Linked DNA regions of Callithrix jacchus. The protein of the gene in region 1 purifies or fractionates together with the protein of each later gene. This does not show direct contact. Links are inferred from orthologs where the notes say so. Each region holds a gene or a part of one and is shown in the gene's direction. Other genes may lie near its edges.

Evidence for each region.
Region 2: the proteins of BPTF (region 1) and HMGXB4 fractionate together in Homo sapiens (co-fractionation; 3 studies listed by BioGRID, with this or other methods). This does not show direct contact. The link is inferred for Callithrix jacchus from reciprocal best matches to the Homo sapiens genes BPTF and HMGXB4.
Region 3: the proteins of BPTF (region 1) and SMARCA1 purify together in Homo sapiens (affinity purification with mass spectrometry; 4 studies listed by BioGRID and IntAct, with this or other methods). This does not show direct contact. The link is inferred for Callithrix jacchus from reciprocal best matches to the Homo sapiens genes BPTF and SMARCA1.

What each region holds. Positions count from the first base shown.
Region 1 is NC_133506.1:90,321,121-90,326,840, reverse strand, and holds part of BPTF (nucleosome-remodeling factor subunit BPTF), read left to right. Parts: intron 1-1,173; coding exon 1,174-1,396; intron 1,397-2,434; coding exon 2,435-3,363; intron 3,364-4,726; coding exon 4,727-4,809; intron 4,810-5,081; coding exon 5,082-5,307; intron 5,308-5,720. UniProt on the Homo sapiens protein: Regulatory subunit of the ATP-dependent NURF-1 and NURF-5 ISWI chromatin remodeling complexes, which form ordered nucleosome arrays on chromatin and facilitate access to DNA during DNA-templated processes such as DNA replication, transcription, and repair.
Region 2 is NC_133502.1:206,128,695-206,135,116, forward strand, and holds the start of HMGXB4 (HMG domain-containing protein 4), read left to right. Parts: upstream 1-2,279; 5' UTR 2,280-2,356; intron 2,357-6,422. UniProt on the Homo sapiens protein: Negatively regulates Wnt/beta-catenin signaling during development.
Region 3 is NC_133524.1:125,188,112-125,194,383, reverse strand, and holds the start of SMARCA1 (SWI/SNF-related matrix-associated actin-dependent regulator of chromatin subfamily A member 1), read left to right. Parts: upstream 1-2,129; 5' UTR 2,130-2,250; coding exon 2,251-2,424; intron 2,425-6,272.

The sequences.
Region 1 (5,720 bases):
CTCATTTTATCTCACCTTTAAGTTGGGCAGAGTACTTGACCTTTCTTTTTTTTTTTTTTGAGACTGAGTTTTGCTCTTGTTACCCAGGCTAGAGTGCAATGGCGCGATCTCAGCTCACGACAACCTCCGCCTCCTGGGTTCAAACAATTCTCCTGCCTCAAGCCTCCCGAGCAGCTGGGACCACAGGCGTGTGCCACCATGCCCAGCCAATTTTTATTAGAAACAGGGTTTCACCACGTTGACCTGGATGGTCTCGATCTCTTGACCTCATGATCCATCCACCTCCACCTCCCAATGTGCTGGGATTATAGGCGTGAGCCACCACGCCCAGCCAGTACTTGACCTTTCTAACTCGAGTTTCTTAGTTGGGAATAAGAATAATAGGCCAGCGTGGTGGCTCACACCTGTAATCCCAGCACTTTGGGAGGCCAAGGCAGGTGGATCATGAGGTCAAGAGTTCAAGACCAGCCTGGCTAATATGGTGAAACCCCATCTCTACTAAAAAAAACAAAAATTAGCCGGTCAGGGTGGTGGGTGCCTGTAGTCCCAGCTACTCGGGAGGCTGACACAGAATTGCTTGAACCCCAGAGGCAGAGGTTGCAGTGAGCCAACATCTCATCACTGCAGTCCAGCCTGGACAGCAGAGCGAGACTTCGTCCCAAAAAAATAATAATAATATTTTCTCTGCCTATCCCACAAAGTCACAAGTTCATTGTGAGACTCAAATGAGGCAATATATATGAAGATTCTTTCTTAATTATAAAATATGAATATAAGATTATTTAAAATCAGAATTTTGTGGGGACCTTAGTCATTCAATATTTTATGGATTGGGAAACTTGAATCTGGAGAAACAGTGTTGTTTGTGGACAGATAACTGGCTGTGAACAGATAACCATTGGGAGAGTTGAACTGGAACTCTAGATTGTTGATGTTTTTCCTACTAAGCAACGTAAATATTCTTACCTTAGCTTACCTAAATTCCTGATGGTGCCATTCAAATACGCATTTTCATTATATTAAAGGATCGTTACACATAAAAATGCTGTACATACAGATTGATGCTTTGAACACTGTTTACATATTGTGTTTTTAATTTTTTTTTTCTTTCATTTTTTTTTTTTTCTTTTTTAGCTACAATTCAAGATGATACATGTTGTGTTTTTTCCACAGGGTGGCAATCAAGGTTTGACAGTAGTAATTCAAGGACAAGGTCAAACTACTGGACAGTTGCAGTTGATACCTCAAGGGGTGACTGTACTCCCAGGCCCAGGCCAGCAGCTAATGCAAGCTGCAATGCCAAATGGTACTGTTCAGCGATTCCTCTTTACCCCATTGGCAACTACAGCCACCACAGCCAGCACCACCACCACCACTGTTTCCACGACAGCAGCAGGTAGAGCTGTGGGTTTGTCAGAAATGTCGGATGTTACTACTACACGTTGCTGGGTAACAGAGGCCAACAGGAGAACCAGTATTTACCCTTGGAAGGATGTGGCTCAAGCCAGTGAGCTCAACAGTTGACATAGTCAGCCTACAGCGTCTCGAAGCTTATAACCTATTCTTACAGACTCCCTGTTACCACCACCCTCTCCCTCCCATTAAAAAAGAGAGAAAGGAAAAAAAAAAAGAAAGGGGGCAAAAATAATGGTTATCTTGGTAACTGGGCCCACACTTACTCATTGCCAGGCCTTGTAGATGCTGATTGAGTCATGGAGGTGATCTCAGGGAGGGTGGCTAAATCCAGTTCATGACCTGAAATTGAGAGCAGGTCCAAAACCACTTTTTTGGCCTTCTGCTACAAGTCGTTATAACTAACTGCCACCGCATCATGGGAGAAAAGTGAGGCTTGATAGTTAGCTTGGGCCAGGTGATTCAGCTAATTTCCAGAGGCTGCACTTCAGAAGCCAGCCCTCGGGAGAGTTAGGAGGGTCTACAGGAGACAGCCAAGAAACAGGCCCAGGCTCCCCAGTTTAGGAGAGTCCTGCCCTGAGCATGTCCAGATGGAGTATTTTAAAGGCAGAGACCTTCTGTGTCAAAATACCAAAATTCTCAACTCTATTTACTTTATTTGTTTTGAGACAGGGTCTTGCTCTGTCAGCCAGGCTGAAGTGAAGTAGCACCATTACTGCTCACTGCAGCCTTGACCTCCTGGACTCAAGCAATCCTCCCACCTCAGCCTCCCAGGTAGCTGGGACTATAGGCATGCTCCACTATGCCCAGATTATTTTTTCTATTTTTTTGTTTTTGTGTAGAGACGGGGTCTCACTATGTTGTTCAAGTGGTCCTCCCACCTCAACCTCCCAAAGTGCACAGGCATGAGCCACTGCGCCTGGCCAAAATATTCAACTTTAGAAAATCTTCTTCAGATTCTTCTTTAACCACAGTCTTATGTTCTAGAATAATAGAAATGGTTCATCTTTCCTTTTCACAGGTACAGGTGAACAAAGACAAAGTAAATTGTCACCCCAGACGCAGGTACATCAAGACAAAACCCTGCCACCAGCTCAGTCATCAAGTGTGGGTCCGGCAGAAGCCCAGCCACAGACTGCTCAGCCTTCAGCTCAGCCCCAGCCCCAAACCCAGCCCCAAACCCAGCCCCAGTCCCCAGCTCAGCCTGAAGTTCAGACTCAGCCTGAAGTTCAGACCCAAACAACTGTTGCATCCCATGTCCCTTCTGAAGCACAACCCACCCAAGCACAGTCATCCAAACCCCAAGTTGCAGCACAGTCTCAGCCTCAAAGTAATGTCCAAGGACAGTCTCCTGTTCGTGTCCAAAGTCCATCACAGACTCGAATACGTCCATCAACTCCATCCCAAGTGTCTCCTGGACAACAATCCCAGGTTCAGACTACAACCTCACAACCGATTCCAATTCAACCACATACATCTCTTCAGATACCTTCCCAAGGCCAGCCACAATCACAACCCCAGGTACAGTCTTCAACTCAAACTCTTTCATCAGGACAAACTTTAAATCAAGTTACTGTTTCATCCCCATCCCGTCCTCAGCTACAAACACAGCAGCCACAGCCCCAAGTCATTGCTGTGCCTCAGCTGCAACAACAAGTCCAGGTTCTCTCTCAGATCCAGTCACAGGTTGTGGCTCAGATACAGGCTCAGCAAAGTGGTGTGCCCCAGCAAATCAAACTCCAGTTACCTATCCAAATTCAGCAAAGCAGTGCTGTGCAGACTCACCAGATTCAGAATGTGGTTACAGTGCAGGCAGCCAGTGTGCAAGAGCAGTTGCAAAGGGTTCAGCAACTCAGGGATCAGCAGCAAAAGAAGAAACAGCAACAGATAGAAATTAAGCGTGAACACACCCTCCAAGCTTCTAATCAAAGTGAAATCATTCAGAAACAGGTAAAGTTATTAAGTAAAAGCAGCATGTTCCGTAGCTTGAATTATTGTGCTGTGCAGTAGACTTAGTGTTTGGTTGTGTTAGGTTTCCTAAATGAGACAAAGTCATTAATGTTTAAATTCAGAAGAAACACTGAATTGACCAAACAAAATATTGAATGACTACTGTGGTGTGGAACTCTTCATTGGATATGTATAATAGTCAGTGCTTATGAGGAATGACCTGTATTTTGGGAGGACTAGGATGGGAAGATGGAGTTAGGAGCTTTAATCATTAACATAAAACTTGAGGGTTTAACTAAGTTTTAAAGCCACTTCAGACATTATAGCAATTCCTTTGGAGTTACTCGAAGTTGTCATTCCTTAGTTTGCATGAAGACTGTGCAAATTATGGACAGATTAAACTCATTTGCATTTCTGGTCACACCTTTGTAAAAAAAAAGTAGCTTAAATAAAAAGTGGCATCATTCAGCAACATCTTGCAATGAATGGCATATTAGTGAAATAAAGCAATTTAGATGGGTTAGAATTAGTCTACTAAAATGAAGTCATACATACAACATTTGATAGCGTTCCTGGCAGAAACCATCTTTTCATCTATCTGTAGCTTGCTTCGCTTAGCACTAGGCAGGAGTTTGAGTGTGGAGTTCAAGTGTTACCAAGTCGTGAGACCTTCATTCAGTTCCTAGGTCTCCCATTCGCAGTCTGTGAAACTCACTTATTCCTCCTTAGCTATAGCCTCTTAAAATCCTTCTCTTTCCAGCCACACAAGATTATTGCAATGATTAAATGAGGTAATATATATAGAAGCACTTTTTAAACAGCAAATGTAAGGTAATACTCTTATGAAAGTGATGATCATATGTATTATATTTAAATGTACTATTACCTAGCGCTACTGTGTATCTGTAAATTGAGAATTACTACACTGTCTATCCCCTAATCTTTGTATAGGGAAGACAAGGGACAGCTCTTTAAAATTAATTCCTGAAAAGAAAGTATAATGTTAAAAATATGGCCTTTGGAGGAAGATAGGTTAAAATTTCAGCTATATTACTTATTGTTTCTCAAACAAGGTGGTTAATTTCCTTATATCTCTGTATCTCGTTTATAAAATGATTGCTGTGGTTCAGTATCGTTACAAGGAGTAAATGAGGTAATGTCAAGTGCATAGCCTAGCACAGTACCCAGCAGGTAGTAAGCACCCAGGCCATCTAGTAGCTGCTAGTTTTATTTATGTTACGATATAAAATTCTTAGTTTCTTTAAAAAAACACATTTATGTGCTCAAATTTCTACTGTTGTTATCTGTGCACTAACCTGTGGTCATTATAAAATATGCGCTTTGGATCTATTCTGTCCTGAAGGTGGTGATGAAGCATAATGCTGTAATAGAACATTTAAAACAGAAAAAGAGCATGACTCCAGCTGAAAGAGAAGAGAATCAAAGGTAGGGGAGATGCAGGGTCTTGTTGTCTGTCCGTCTCTTCTCTTTATCGTGCACATGCACAGAGTTCTGAGTTTATACTTGTTTGTCTTGATCTAAGTTCATTAAATGAGAACACTTGGCACTAATAGTTCCTTCTAACCGGTTTGAACCACTCTCGAAGTTTTCCTGTCACAGGAGGTTTGTGTCTTATCTATAGAGGCATAGAAGAATCATGTCTTAAGCCTTTCAAAATGAAACACCCAGCATTACATAGGTTGTGTATTTTTCTCTAGAATGATTGTCTGTAACCAGGTGATGAAGTATATTTTGGATAAGATAGATAAAGAAGAAAAACAGGCAGCAAAAAAACGGAAGCGGGAAGAGAGTGTGGAGCAGAAACGTAGCAAGCAGAATGCCACTAAGCTGTCAGCTCTGCTCTTCAAGCACAAAGAGCAGCTCAGAGCCGAGATCCTGAAGAAGAGAGCACTCCTGGACAAGGATCTGCAAATTGAAGTGCAGGTAAGAGGCCATGTCCTTTTCTTCTGTGTCCAGTATTTAGCATCTAAGGTTCTTTTTTCCTTTGCCTTTTTAATAAGGTTTAAAATTTCAGTATGTTTTCTAGAATTTACATTTGTGTACATAAAGAGCAGTGAGACGCATGTCTTAGGAAACAAGTTAGAGCTTTTATAACTAAATGTATATTGTATTCTCCAAACTAGGGACTCTGAGAGGTTAGTCTCTTGATTGAAATGTTGTAGAACTCTGAGAAGAACTTTTCATATCTATGACATAGTCTGGCCAAAAGTAATCAGGAATAGAATTTCATGAAAAAAGTACAGAGACTTTGAAGTAACGTTGAAAGAATGAAACATAACATGTCCATTAAATAAGACAACTTTCCCCAGGACAAGGGGGCTCCCTCCTGTACTCCC
Region 2 (6,422 bases), on another chromosome or scaffold:
CGATCATCTGAGGTCATAAGTTCAAGACCAGCCTGGCCAACATGGTGAAACCCCATCTCTACCAAAAATATAAAAATTAGCTGAGCATGGTGGTGCATGCCTGAAGTCCCAGCTACTTGGGAGGCTGAGGCAGGAGAATCGCTTGAATTCATGAGGCGGAGGTTGCAGTAAGATGAGATCACACCAATGCACTCCAGCCAGGGGGACAAAGCAAGACTGTCTCAAAATAAATAAATGACTCATAGAGTGTGTAACTCTTGGGGATTGCCTGTTTGCAGTCAGCATAATTCTCTGGAGAGTCATTCAGGTTACTGTGTGGGTCAATAGTGCTCATTCCTTGCTGCTGCTGAATTGGATTCCACGATGTGGACGTGCCACAGTCTGCTTAACCATTCACCTGTTTAAGGCCTCATTGTTTAATCACCAGTGCCTTGTAGACAGTCACTGGACTTGCATGCGAAGTCCGTCCTGAAGAGCAACACTACTTGTGATTAGGAGCGTCGGCTGCGAAGTCTGACTCCTAACTCCAGAACTTGCTGTTCATGTGGGGTTGAGTCATCTACTTAACCTCGGTCTGCCTCAGTTTTCTCATCTGTAACATTTAGTTAATTCTCATAAGAAGTCTGTAAGTGCCCATCTTACAGACTCGTCATGAGAATTAACTAAATCTGCATGTTATGTGTTTAACCCAAAGTCTGGCTTATGGTAAGAACTCAATTACAGTTAAGTAATAACAATAATTAACACTATAATAACAATACTTAGTAACAGACATTCACTGAACTGAATCGAAAACCAAATGAGAACATTCACATTTGCAAAATATTCAAATCAGGGGGTTGTGGCACATTGTAAATGGAATAATTCGGCCAAGTGTGGTGGCCAAGGCCTGTAATCCCAGCACTTTGGGAGGCAGAGTAATTCGGCCAAGTGTGGTGGCCAAGGCCTGTAATCCCAGCACTTTGGGAGGCAGAGTAATTCGGCCAAGTGTGGTCTCATGACCACATCATTTTCAAGCACTCACCTAATTCTGCAATGATAAATCTGCTAGGACAGGGGTTCTTAATTTTTGTTGGGGCCTCGGCCCCAGGAAAATACACATTGCACATTGCACAAACGCACGATTTTATGTTGCATGGGGTTCACAACTCTAGAAGCCAATCTACATCTCTAACCTCTCTGCTTAACAGTAACACCAGCTTCTGTTGAGCTCCTCCAGTGAAAGGGAGCCCACTACTCACAAGGAAGGCCATTATACTATTGAACTGTACTAGAAAAATAAGTTCTTCATATATATATATATATATACATACATACATATATACATACATATATATATTTCAGACGGAGTCTCGCTGTCGCCCAGGCTGGAGTGCAGTGGCTTGATCTCGGCTCACTGCAACCACTACCTCCTGGGTTCAAGCGCTTCTCCTGCCTCAGCCTCCAGAGTAGCTGGGACTACAGGCGTCCGCCACCACGCCTGACTAATGTTTGTATTTTTAGTGGAGACGGGATTTCGCCACGTTGGCCAGGCTAGTCTGGAATTCCTGACGTCAGGTGATCCGCCCGCCTCAGCCTCCCAAAGTGCTGGGATTACAGGTGTGAGCCACCGCCCCTGGCGTTCTTTATATTAAATCAAGTTCTGCACACTGTAATTTCCACCCATTGGTCCGAGTTCTCCATGGCAAATCGGAAAAATTGTGTTCTCGCCTGTAAATGACATCTCTTCCTCTCTCTCTGAAGACTGTTTCAAACTAAGAAATGTAGATGATTCGCCATGCAAATTGTTTTACTGTACATTGTCACAAAGTTCTACCACCTCACTCCTAATCTGCCAAATAGCCAAATGTAGATGCTGAAGTTCAAATAAGCACACTGCTATTGATCTGCATGGATCTAGGTTTTGCAAAGAGGAGAAGTGCTGTATATAAATATCTTGAAAGAACAGCATAGTATTTTGGGGAAAGCACCGCATTCAGAATCAGAAGACTGGAAGTAATACTCCGTCTCCTATTCCAACTACCTGCGCATCCTTGGGCACGTCACTTCTCTCGGCCTGGTTCTCTTCTGCAAAATGCGACAAGAATACAGTGAGGATTAAGCGAAATATTTGTAAGCTTCCAGGGCAAGGCTGGCACATAGCAAATTTTCAACCAACGCCAGCTCCGGTGCTCAGCAAGCTCCGAGTTTTATTCGATGTGCTCGACGCTCTTTGTCGAACGGGATTCCCCCTCCGGAGCCTGAGTCTGCGCTCTGGGCTCGACTGAGGCTCCCTGGCCGCTCGCGCTTTTCTCTCCTTCTCCAAGATGGCGGCAGTCGGCGGCGCTGAGGCGGGATCCGGGCGAGCCGAGTGAAGGTAGCGGCGAGCGGAGCCCCCAAGAGGCCGGGCTGGGCCCCCACCCAGAGGCGGCAGCAGCCCCGCCCCCCCGCCACCCGCCGTCCTGGGCCCGCGACACCGCCTCTGAGGCGCCCCAGGCCCGTCGCGGCCTAGCCCAGGGGCCGAGCCGGGGACTGAAGTAGCGGCCGCAGCCGCCCCCAGGAAGCGGCTGGAGCGGGCAGAAGGAGGAGGGCGGGCGGGAGCTGTTCAAACGGGGAAGGCGGGAAAGCTGCGGGGCCGGGAGGGGGCGTGCGGCCGCCCTGGGGGCCTGCGGACCCGGTGCGCCCCTCCCCCTGCCTGGGCCGTCTCCGCCTTCGGGGGCGCCGTGAGGCCGCCGGGGACGCAGGAAGCCGGGTCCAGGTCGAACTGTACGGCTCGGAACTCGCGATGCGAGGGTCCCGGGGGCTGTCAGGGGGAAAGGGCCCGGGGCCGCGGCCACGGGAGGGCTGGGGCCGCGGCTGGCAGGAGAGGGTACGAGGAGCTTTCTTCTTTTCCTCTTCACAGAGCTTTGTTGAAGTAGCTGTTGCCTCAAAACTGCCGGGAGAAACCCACTGGTTTGCCGTGGGGAACCACAAAAATGGTGGTCCCGGGGGCAGATGGTGTAAATCACCTGGTATTGTGTGTATTCTTTGCGTGCACCCCGGCCTGGCCGTGCCTTCATGGTGGGAGCCTTCTTCATGCAGGCCCATTTTCCCTCCACAACTACTACTTGTAGATTCACTTTATAGCGTGCAGAAGCGGAGAAACATCTCTGTCCCCTCTTTCTGAGGGCTAACTGGTGGCTGATTATATTTCCTCCTAATAGAATACATTAAAAAAACTGAATCCCAAATAAAGCCTGTTGATTGGACAAGGCTTGTCCAAATTTCTGTTGCTCGTCTTTCGGAATGTGTGTTGTCAGCCGATCTGTTCGGTGGTCGTGGTTCCGGTGAATTGCACTGCAGTGAGAGGATTCCATCCCCATCCCAGACTGGGGATCTCTGCAGCTTCCAGAGCTGGCAGGGGCTGGGAGTGCTGCCTAGGTAGGTCCCCGGAGAAGGGAGTGACAAGAGGATTCGGAGCCGCTGTGTTCGGAGACTGGAGGAAACCTGGACGAAAATGAGAAGGCATCACTTGCTTGTATCCTAGAAGTAACAACAAGAAAATTTCAGAAATTGGCAACCAGTGGATGCTCATCTTCCTTTACCTGCACTGACTGGCATTTTGAGTTCTTGAAAGGAGTGATGGAAGAAGAGAACGCAGAATCTTGGACAAGGCTCTCATCCTGGAACAGACCTGGATTTCAGAATTTCTCTCACTGGCCCTTTGGTGGGACTCCCTTTGTTTCCTTTTTTTCGATACTTATTCACATTATGGGATGAAGAAGCTAATGTTAGTGATTGCAGGAGCTCACCTTACCTCAAAAAAACAACCATCTGAAACCTTTTTTTAGTATTATTTGAAGTTTCAAAATAACAAAGATTTGTTGTTATAATGATTTCAAAGTCATATCTGATGATTTTTTCCCCCTGATTACTTTGGACATCCCAGATGAACATAACTTGTATACTTGTCTACAAGGGAAAGAGCAACTCTGCTGCCTCCTTTTCAGATTCGGAAGAAAAGTCCCCGAAGAGCTATTTGACAATTTGTATATAAGTATACATTTTGATGGTACCAGTTTTGTGCTTGTATCACCAGTATAAAATAATGAACTTTTACCTACGTTGTCATATCTTACCACACTGAGACACAGTTATTCCTGCCTCCTGGAATTGACAACATTGAATTTTATAAACTCCCAAATTATTGAATTGAGAATGGGTTTCAGCACCTGTTTCACATTTGCCAACATTTAATGTAATTATGACCTCCCTTTTCTAATGTGAAAAACCTAGTATTTTTCATTTCCATTAATCCTCACAATCTACTCTCTACCCCTGAACTCTGAATTTTCACGGATCATATTCAAGACCTGGGAGGAATATCAGGGGTTCATCTGATCTCATATAAATGTTGCCTAACCTCTGGCTTTCTTTCACACTGTTGCTTGAGGTTTATCTGGTATCTTTCTTCTATGAGTCAACAACCAAAACTAAACCCTGAGTTGCAATAATATCCTGATTTTAAAGAACCTAGAAATTCAAGGCCCAGCAGTCTGCCCAAGCTGTGAGTGATATAGTCTGTGTTTAATTTTAGTTTTTCAAGCTTTTGGCTGTCCAGTTCTTTAGTGAACTGGACTTGTCTTCAGGCCTCATTCATATTTTTTCTTCAGGTTATTTAATCCAGTAATTAATAAAATGCATTTCAGTGTTTTTAAGAAAATTAAACAGTAGCAGACCTAATCTAATATGTAATGCTAACACCACATTTTCTGTGTTGCTCTGTGCCTCTGAGAAGCAGTTCCTAATTTTCTATTCCCTCTCACAACTTTTTAATCCACTAGTTTTTTAAAGCAGTCAGTAGCGAGACCACAATACAGTCATCTTCTTATACTGTCTTCAGAGGTACTTCTATTCTGTTAGGTTGCCCTACTATGTTTTATGTTGATTTCGATGTCACCAAAGGGAAGGCCTGTTTATAAGTCTCAGGACCAGCCTTTGCTTATATTTACAAGTGCATTTTGTTGACAACATTGATGGCTGTATTTATGACATTTAATATTTAAGATTTTGCTATTATTTCTCAAATATTCTTGCCAAAATTCATGCACAGAAAGCGTTTAATTTGAGGTCTCCAGTGGTAGTTCTTGGCATTATCAGCGTATGAAAATCAATATCATCTGTATATTTTTCTTATGAACTCAGTATTTTAGTGCCATTGAGAGGATATGCTGTTTTCAAGTAAATGGATGTAATTCCCTATATTTCACTTCTCCCTGCACCCCTTTTGGAGTTAGCACCACTTGGGTGGAAAGGGGAAAACAGTAGTTTCCATTGAGAAAGTTGGAACATGAAATACTGGCTAAATTATTTATCTTGCCTCTTTGCATTTTTATCTGAGGGCTGACCTTATGTCCCTTTCATTTCCTATGAAAAGGCCCTTCAAACAGGCGGTTCTCCAGTTTATCTTTAAAACCATCCAGGTTAATGTCGTTCTATTACTCTAGCTTCTCTTACTTTGACTAAATCCATTCTTTATTTCACTTCTCAGAGAAGGGAAGAAATGCTTTTTTATGTTTCTTTTCTTAATGTCACTTATGAATCATTCTTGGTAATGCTTCATTTTCCTGTTTTCATTGTAGGCCTACCTGTACATTGTATTTTATCTGATTTGTGCAAATAAGTATTTTATTTTTTTAAAAAATGTAACTCTTAGGAAAGTTTTCCTTGTTAATCAAATTCATCTTTTCTTTCACGAAAGTTCCATGCTTCGGTATTGTCTACAGCTACCTGAAGGAATTAGTAATGTATAATTTAAGTGTCCTTCAGTATTTCTAAATCCCCTTATAATAATCAAGGTAAATTTAAATAAATGATCAATTAGATTAACTTTATAATCATTTGACTTCATTGGATAGAACATTTCCAAAATATTTAATATATAATTTTAAATTTCCTGAAGGACTTGTGACATTGCTTGTTCTTAAGACATTTAAAGAGCTTTACCTTACATGCATTTTATAGCATTGTCCTCTTCAGTCAAGATGGGCATATAAACTGAAATGCCAAAAAATGCTCTAAAAATTCAATACAATAACTAGAACATTTAAATTATATCAGTTATTATTAGTGAAGATCTTAATAATCATAAAAGTTTTATGACCAGTGGACAAATGATAGATATCTCCCTGTTTTCACCCAGCCTTTAAGAAATTCTTGGTGGTGGTGAAAGCTGTCATATGGTCAACTGATGTAAGGAGTGTTCCTGCTTTTACAGTTATATAAATTTGAACAAATTCATGTAGGCCCCCAAAAAATGCAAAAGAAATTGTGCTCTGAAGATATTTAATATCCCTATACAGTTAATCATTTCTGTTTAAATTGCAAAGCAATAGATGTTACTATTTCACCCATTCAGTTGGTAGGATTTTATGGTCTTCAGTGTTTGGTGTGATCTGTCTTCT
Region 3 (6,272 bases), on another chromosome or scaffold:
TGAACAACTTCTATAATCTACCAAAGTGGACATATTGGCCAGTAGACTGGGATTAGTTCTGAGGTTCCCAGTTATTTATAAAAGTTTGCTCTGTTCTCCAATCTCAATGGAATAGAGCAATCCAAGATCATTTCAAATGAAAAGACATAATTGGGGACAGTAGTAGCAGATGGAGCAAGGTGTTGAGTAGGCTCAGAAATGAGATGACTCTTGTTGAACAAAGTCTACAGATCATGAATTTTAGGCAGATTTACAAATAAGGATAGCACATACTCTGTAAATAGCAGCTGTTGCCACAAGCCAAAGGGCAATATTTACATGAATCCTGTGGCAAGGTCTGTTGACCAAGCATCGACCTTTCCAGCCAAATTCATATACTTGGTAGCACTTTCAGCCGCGTCACCTCAAAAAGGAAGGATTGCATTATACATGCACGGAAAATTGCCAATGTACAAATATGTTCTGCCCCCAAATAAATTTCTAAATTCTTTTTTTGGAACTTGGAACACATGTCCCCACCAAAAAAAGGTGTTATAAAGGGATGTGAGTTTCCCAGATTTCCTCACAAAAGTGCATTTAACCCACAATGTAACTGAAATAACGTACACTGGCAATGAGAAATACAGTGGAAGAAAGCTGACTTGAAAGCAGGAACACACCAATACACGATAAACATTTCTTGAGCTCTTCTCCTTTGCAGTCTCATGCAACAAAAGAGGAATTCCATCTTCCGATAGCTGCAATTCAGTGAAAAAGAAATCCTCCACTCTTGCTGTCCTTAAGGGTCCTTCTCAATTCAGGGTATTTAGAGCGTACATCGCCTCAAGTATTTATTATTTCTATGTGTTGGGAACATTTCAAGTCCTCTCTTCTAGCTATTTTGAAATATACATTGCATTGTTTGTTCACTAAGGTCACCTTACTCTGCTCTGAACGTTAGAATTTACCACTTCCATCTAACTGTATGCATATTTATACTCATTAACCAACCTCTCTTCATCAATCTGCGGCAACCCCACACATCCTCCCCAGACTTCTCGTACCTATCATTTTACTCTCTACCTCCATGGGATCAACTTTTTAGCTCCCACATATGAGTGAGAACGTGTGGTATCTGTCTTTCTGTGCCTGGCTTATTTCATGCAACATAATGTCCTTCAGTTTCATTTATGTTTATGCAAATAACATTTCATTCTTTTTTTATGGCTACATAGTACTCCATTGTGTATACAAACCACATTTTCCTTAACCCTTCATCTGCTGATAGACACTGATTGATTCCGTATCATGAAATGCTTTTATATCCATGATCATTCATAGCATCAGTATTGTATTACTACCAAATAGAACCTGTGCCAAAAAATCACAGTAATTCATTTCAATTACTAATATTGAGTGCCTACCACATGTTGCCCCAGGTTCTGTGGGGGATCTTGACCTTGCCTCCTAGGAATTTAAAAATTTAGTGGTGAAGGCAAGAGAAGGGATCGTGCACATTGGCACCCTGAGAGGTACCAGAGGTGAAAACAGAACAAATATACATAAAACTTAAGAGTCAGACTTTGCCTTGTAAGTGATTGTTTGCAGCTACAATCCAGAGATTCAAGGAGTACTTCTCCTTCTGCAGAATTTAGGAAGGTGGAAACAGCACCGCTAATCCGACCTCTTTAGAAACCTGGGAAAGGGCAGTCCCCAGAGGGGTTTCGCTCTTTGCAAATGGTGAGAAAGACCTTCTACAGTACAGTTATGAGCAGAGGAAAAGTTCTTTGTGCAAAAGGGGAAAGCGCCCCGAGGTACAAAGAGCAGATTTAAGGGAAAGAGGATTCGTTTTGCAAGCATCTGCGAGGGGAGCTCAGGCTCACTGTTGGGGGCGTCTGGGAAAGGAGATTTTTTTAGGGGGCCGCGAGTTATGGGTTCCCGCCTCCACCCCTGTCCGCGCCCCACACTACGGCAACAGTTGGTCGTGCGGGGCCGGCCCGGGCTCTGGGTGGGGAAGGGGAGTCTCGCGATCGTTGAGGGGGGGGTGGAGGAAGGGGGGAGAGTGACGGGGGGAGGCCATGACGTAGGGTGGGTGGACGGAAGTGGGGCAGGGTTGAGGGTTATTTAAAGAAGGGGGGGCCTGAGCGAAGGGTTGGAAGCGGAGTGATTCCCCACCCCTGCTCCATCTAGCTTTTTCCAGTGCAGCCACTGCCGCCGCCCAGGAGCCCTCGTCCCCTGCCTCGTCCCCCTCCTTGTTCCCGCTCCCACGGCATGGAGCAGGACACCGCCGCAGTGGCAGCCACCGTGGCAGCCGCGGATGCGACCGCCACTATCGTGGTCATAGAGGACGAGCAGCCCGGGCCGTCCACCTCTCAGGAGGAGGGAGCGGCCGCCGCGGCCACCGAAGCCACCGCGGCCACGGAGAAGGGCGAGAAGAAGAAGGAGGTAAATAGGAAGGGGGTGTGTGTGTGTGTGTGTGTGTGTGTGGTGGAGAAATCCTGTGCCTGGCCCCTCTGAGGGGCCCAAATCCTGACCTTTCGGCGCCGACAGGTACCCGCGAAGCTCTGCGGGGCTGGGGGCGGCGGGTGAGGGGGTCGGTGGCGGAACCGCCTGGCGTTCGCTCCCCTCCCCCTTTCCTTCTAGCCGCCTGGAGAACGGGGGCGGGGCTGGGCGCGGGCGGGAGCGGCGCGGGGTGGAGGGGTGCCCGCTCTCCGGGGGCCTGGGGGCTCGGGAGCCCCTCGACAGCCCCCCGACCCCCTCCACCTTCCCGGAACTCGGGTAACGGGGTGGGGGATGGGGCCGTGCAGGAAAAAGCCTCCGCCTCTCCCTCTCCTCTCGCTGGCTCCCTCTCCCCCTCTTCCCGTCGGCCTCTGCCTGGGAAATCTGGGCCCTTCAATCCCACACTCGCGCTAAAGGGGTTTTGCTGGGGCTTCTTTTTGTAATTTGAATTTCAAGGTGCTTCTTTTTGTAATTTGAATTTCGGGGTGGAGGGTGACAGGGAAGACATTTCTTTCTTTCTTTGGCAATGTCGGTCTTTTGGATGGCAGGAAAAAAACCCATCCCTTGTTCGTTTGAACCCCGCCTGCCGAGGTGGGGGTGTCACCCCGAGGAAAGGAGCTCTCCGCGTCGTCCCCCCCCGCCCCCCCCAAACTGAGGAACCGTAGACGCTGGCTTAGGAAAATTTCCAACATCTGCACCCTCACCCTCTGCTGCCCCGCCCCCGACGGTATAAGGTTTCACTCCAGGGCCACCCGAATGGTCCCTCAATCCGGCCCCAAGCTTTCCAGGCTTCCGCCTCCCTCTCCCAGTGGGCGCTGCTGGCTCTTGGACACACACAGTTTTTTTTTTCCTTTAATTTTTAAAAAAACTAAGCTTCGCCAAGATGAGCTGCTTCTAACGTAAGGGAACTGCTCTAACACCTATTAAAGCCAATCCAGAAAATGTGTATGAGCTCCATAAGGCACATTTCGTGTGGACTGAGACATGCAAATAAAACTATAAAACACTGAAAAATTGCCGTAAAAATAGGATGGGGCATAAGCATTTTTTATGTATGATAAAATTGCATAACTAATCATTTATGGGTGGATTTTTTTTCCCATTTAAGAGTAGTCATCGCAATTTTAAAAAGGTGGGCAATTATGCTTTAGAGATCTCAAGTGGCTTTGTCTGAATCATTATATGATACTATACGACCAAATGAAAAGCTTTTGAGGAAAATTAACACCTTTCGCCTAAATGAGAAGAGCAATTTTAAATTTAGCAGTTGCTTATGTGACATATTTTATTGCTACAAGGTTGACTAAACAGAAGGACAATTGTAGTGCTAAATGAAAACCGTAGAAAACACACACATTATAAGATCTACGCGGTACTTTTTAGTAAGACAATATTGTTGATTAAAACTGGGCGTAATACCAAGCATCAATATGAATCAAATGTTGGGAAATTCGGAAACGTCTATGTGCCTTTTATTCCCTAGACTAGGCAAATGTGAGTGCCAAACTGCCTTTTGTATGGCAGGAAAGGTTGTCGAGTTTCCAGATTGTATGAATTTCTGAATTTTGTATAAAAGTTGGAATGGTGAAAAAACGCGGGACCAATAAAAAAACCCATATAATAAACACTGAGTTGATACCTATATATTTGTCAGCTCTGATGCCTCATCAGAAATTGCCCTACCAGTTCTTCATTTGTCCACCCAGGATAGGGAACTGTGGTGCTGTATGTCAGGAACATCCTGGATATCTGAAGTTTGTTTTAGCCACTGCATCATTTTTATTTTTAATTAAAAAAAAATTGGAATATATACTACCTTGGCACTTTAAATTGTGTACTAAAAGTGCAGATTAACCACTTCTTCATGGCCATCAGTTAGTGCACTCTGGACAGTGACGCAAAGGCACTTGAAATCCCACAGGTTGTTCCTTCTCAGTTAAGTAACCACCTCCCAGACTCTTCCAGTATTGTGTTTATGTTTTAAAATAATTTATCTGGCTGGGTGCAGTGGCTCACACCTGTAATGCCAGCACTTTGGGAGGCCGAGGCGGGTGGATCACTTGAGGTCAGGAGTTCAAAACCAGCCTGGCCAACGTGGTGAAACACCGAAACACCGTCTCTACTAAAAATACAAAAAAAAAAAAAAATAGCTGGGCATGGTAGTGGGTGCCTATAATCCCAGGTACTCGGGAGGCTGAGGCAGGAGAATCGCTTGAACCCAGAAGGTAGAAAAAAATTATTTATTTTTTTGAGATGGAGTCTTGCTCTGTTGCCCAGGCTGGCTGGAGTGCAATGGCACGATCTCAGCTCACTGCAACCTCTCCCTCTTGAGTGGAAGCGATTCTCTTTCCTCAGTCTCCTGAGTAGTTGGAATTACAGGAGCCTGCCACCATGCCCAGCTAATTTTTGTATTTTTAGTAGAGACAGGGTTTCACGATATTGGCCAGGCTGGTCTCAAACTCCTGACCTTGTGATCTGCCTACCTTGGCCTCCCAATGTGCTGAGATTACAGGGGTGAGCCACCGAGCCTGGCCAGCTATCACTGTTTAAACAACTCATGTGGTTTCACCAGAAAGAATATGTTAGTTTATGATAAAGAATGTAAGTGTAACAAAACCATAAACTCATTTAAAAATAACTGTAAAATAAAAAAGTGTCAGTGATAAAGCGATAAAGAAGGGAGAGGGAAATAACAACACATGCACACCAAGGATGAGGGAAGCTACTGCAGTGGAAGACACATTTTTGTTCTGGGTTTCTGCTGTGGCTTCTTGTAGAGTGCCTTCCTCTAGTGATCTTTCCCATGTCATTTACTGTTGCTTGTATTCTTGGTGACATGGGAAGCCAGTTTATTAAACTTGGTAGAATTGTCTACCAAATTAAAAAAAAATAGGTTTCTGAATGACAGAGCTTTCGTGTAGAACACAGTAGATCAGATTTAGTGAATTGACCTATGACATTTACCTACTCAAAGGTATTTTTGCCTACCTTCTGGTTATTGAACTTACTTGGTTTAAGTGACGGTTGGATTACCCAACACTAGAAATTGGAGATGGTATCTTTGGTAATAAAAAACGTCAAGAAAAATGTCATGGTCTTTAAAATAAGCCATTTTGTTGACCTTGTGCTGCATTCTCATGGCACCCAGACTCAGATAACAAAATCCAAAGGAATTCATTAGAGTGTCTTAGTCACCCTTGATCTTTACTTGTATGGAAAAATATAGTTTTGAGAATACACATACACATACACATAAACAAATGAGGTTTAGAAGGTAGGCATTTTAAAATTTGTTGTGGAAGATAGTGCCAATTAAGTAATTACCCACAGCTTTTAATAGCACTGCTCAAGATTAGGAATTTTAATTAGCATATAATTAGATTTTGATGGTAGTCTACCGCAAGGTAAGCAAAAAAGTAATGAGTAAAATGTTTTTCTAGGATTAAAGCTTTAATTTTCTGTAAGTGTACTTCCCACATTATTATATATACTTGTGAATATAAGGCAAAGTAATTTTCAGTGTTTTGAAACTGGAAAACTGGATTTCATATAGCCTTTCAAGGAATGAAAGATAAAGATATGGATTTTGAATTTCTTGTTGCTTTGAAAGTAAATATGATTTATATTATACATGGCAGCTTTAAAGTGTGAGTTTGAGGGGTTATTTAGCAGTTTTCTATCTCATCCATCCGGGATTACATTCAAAGCATTCCACATAGATATGTATGTATCAGATGCTGTAAATCAAGATATCTGGTCAGTGCTACAAAGTAAGAGTCTGGACAAGGTCAAAT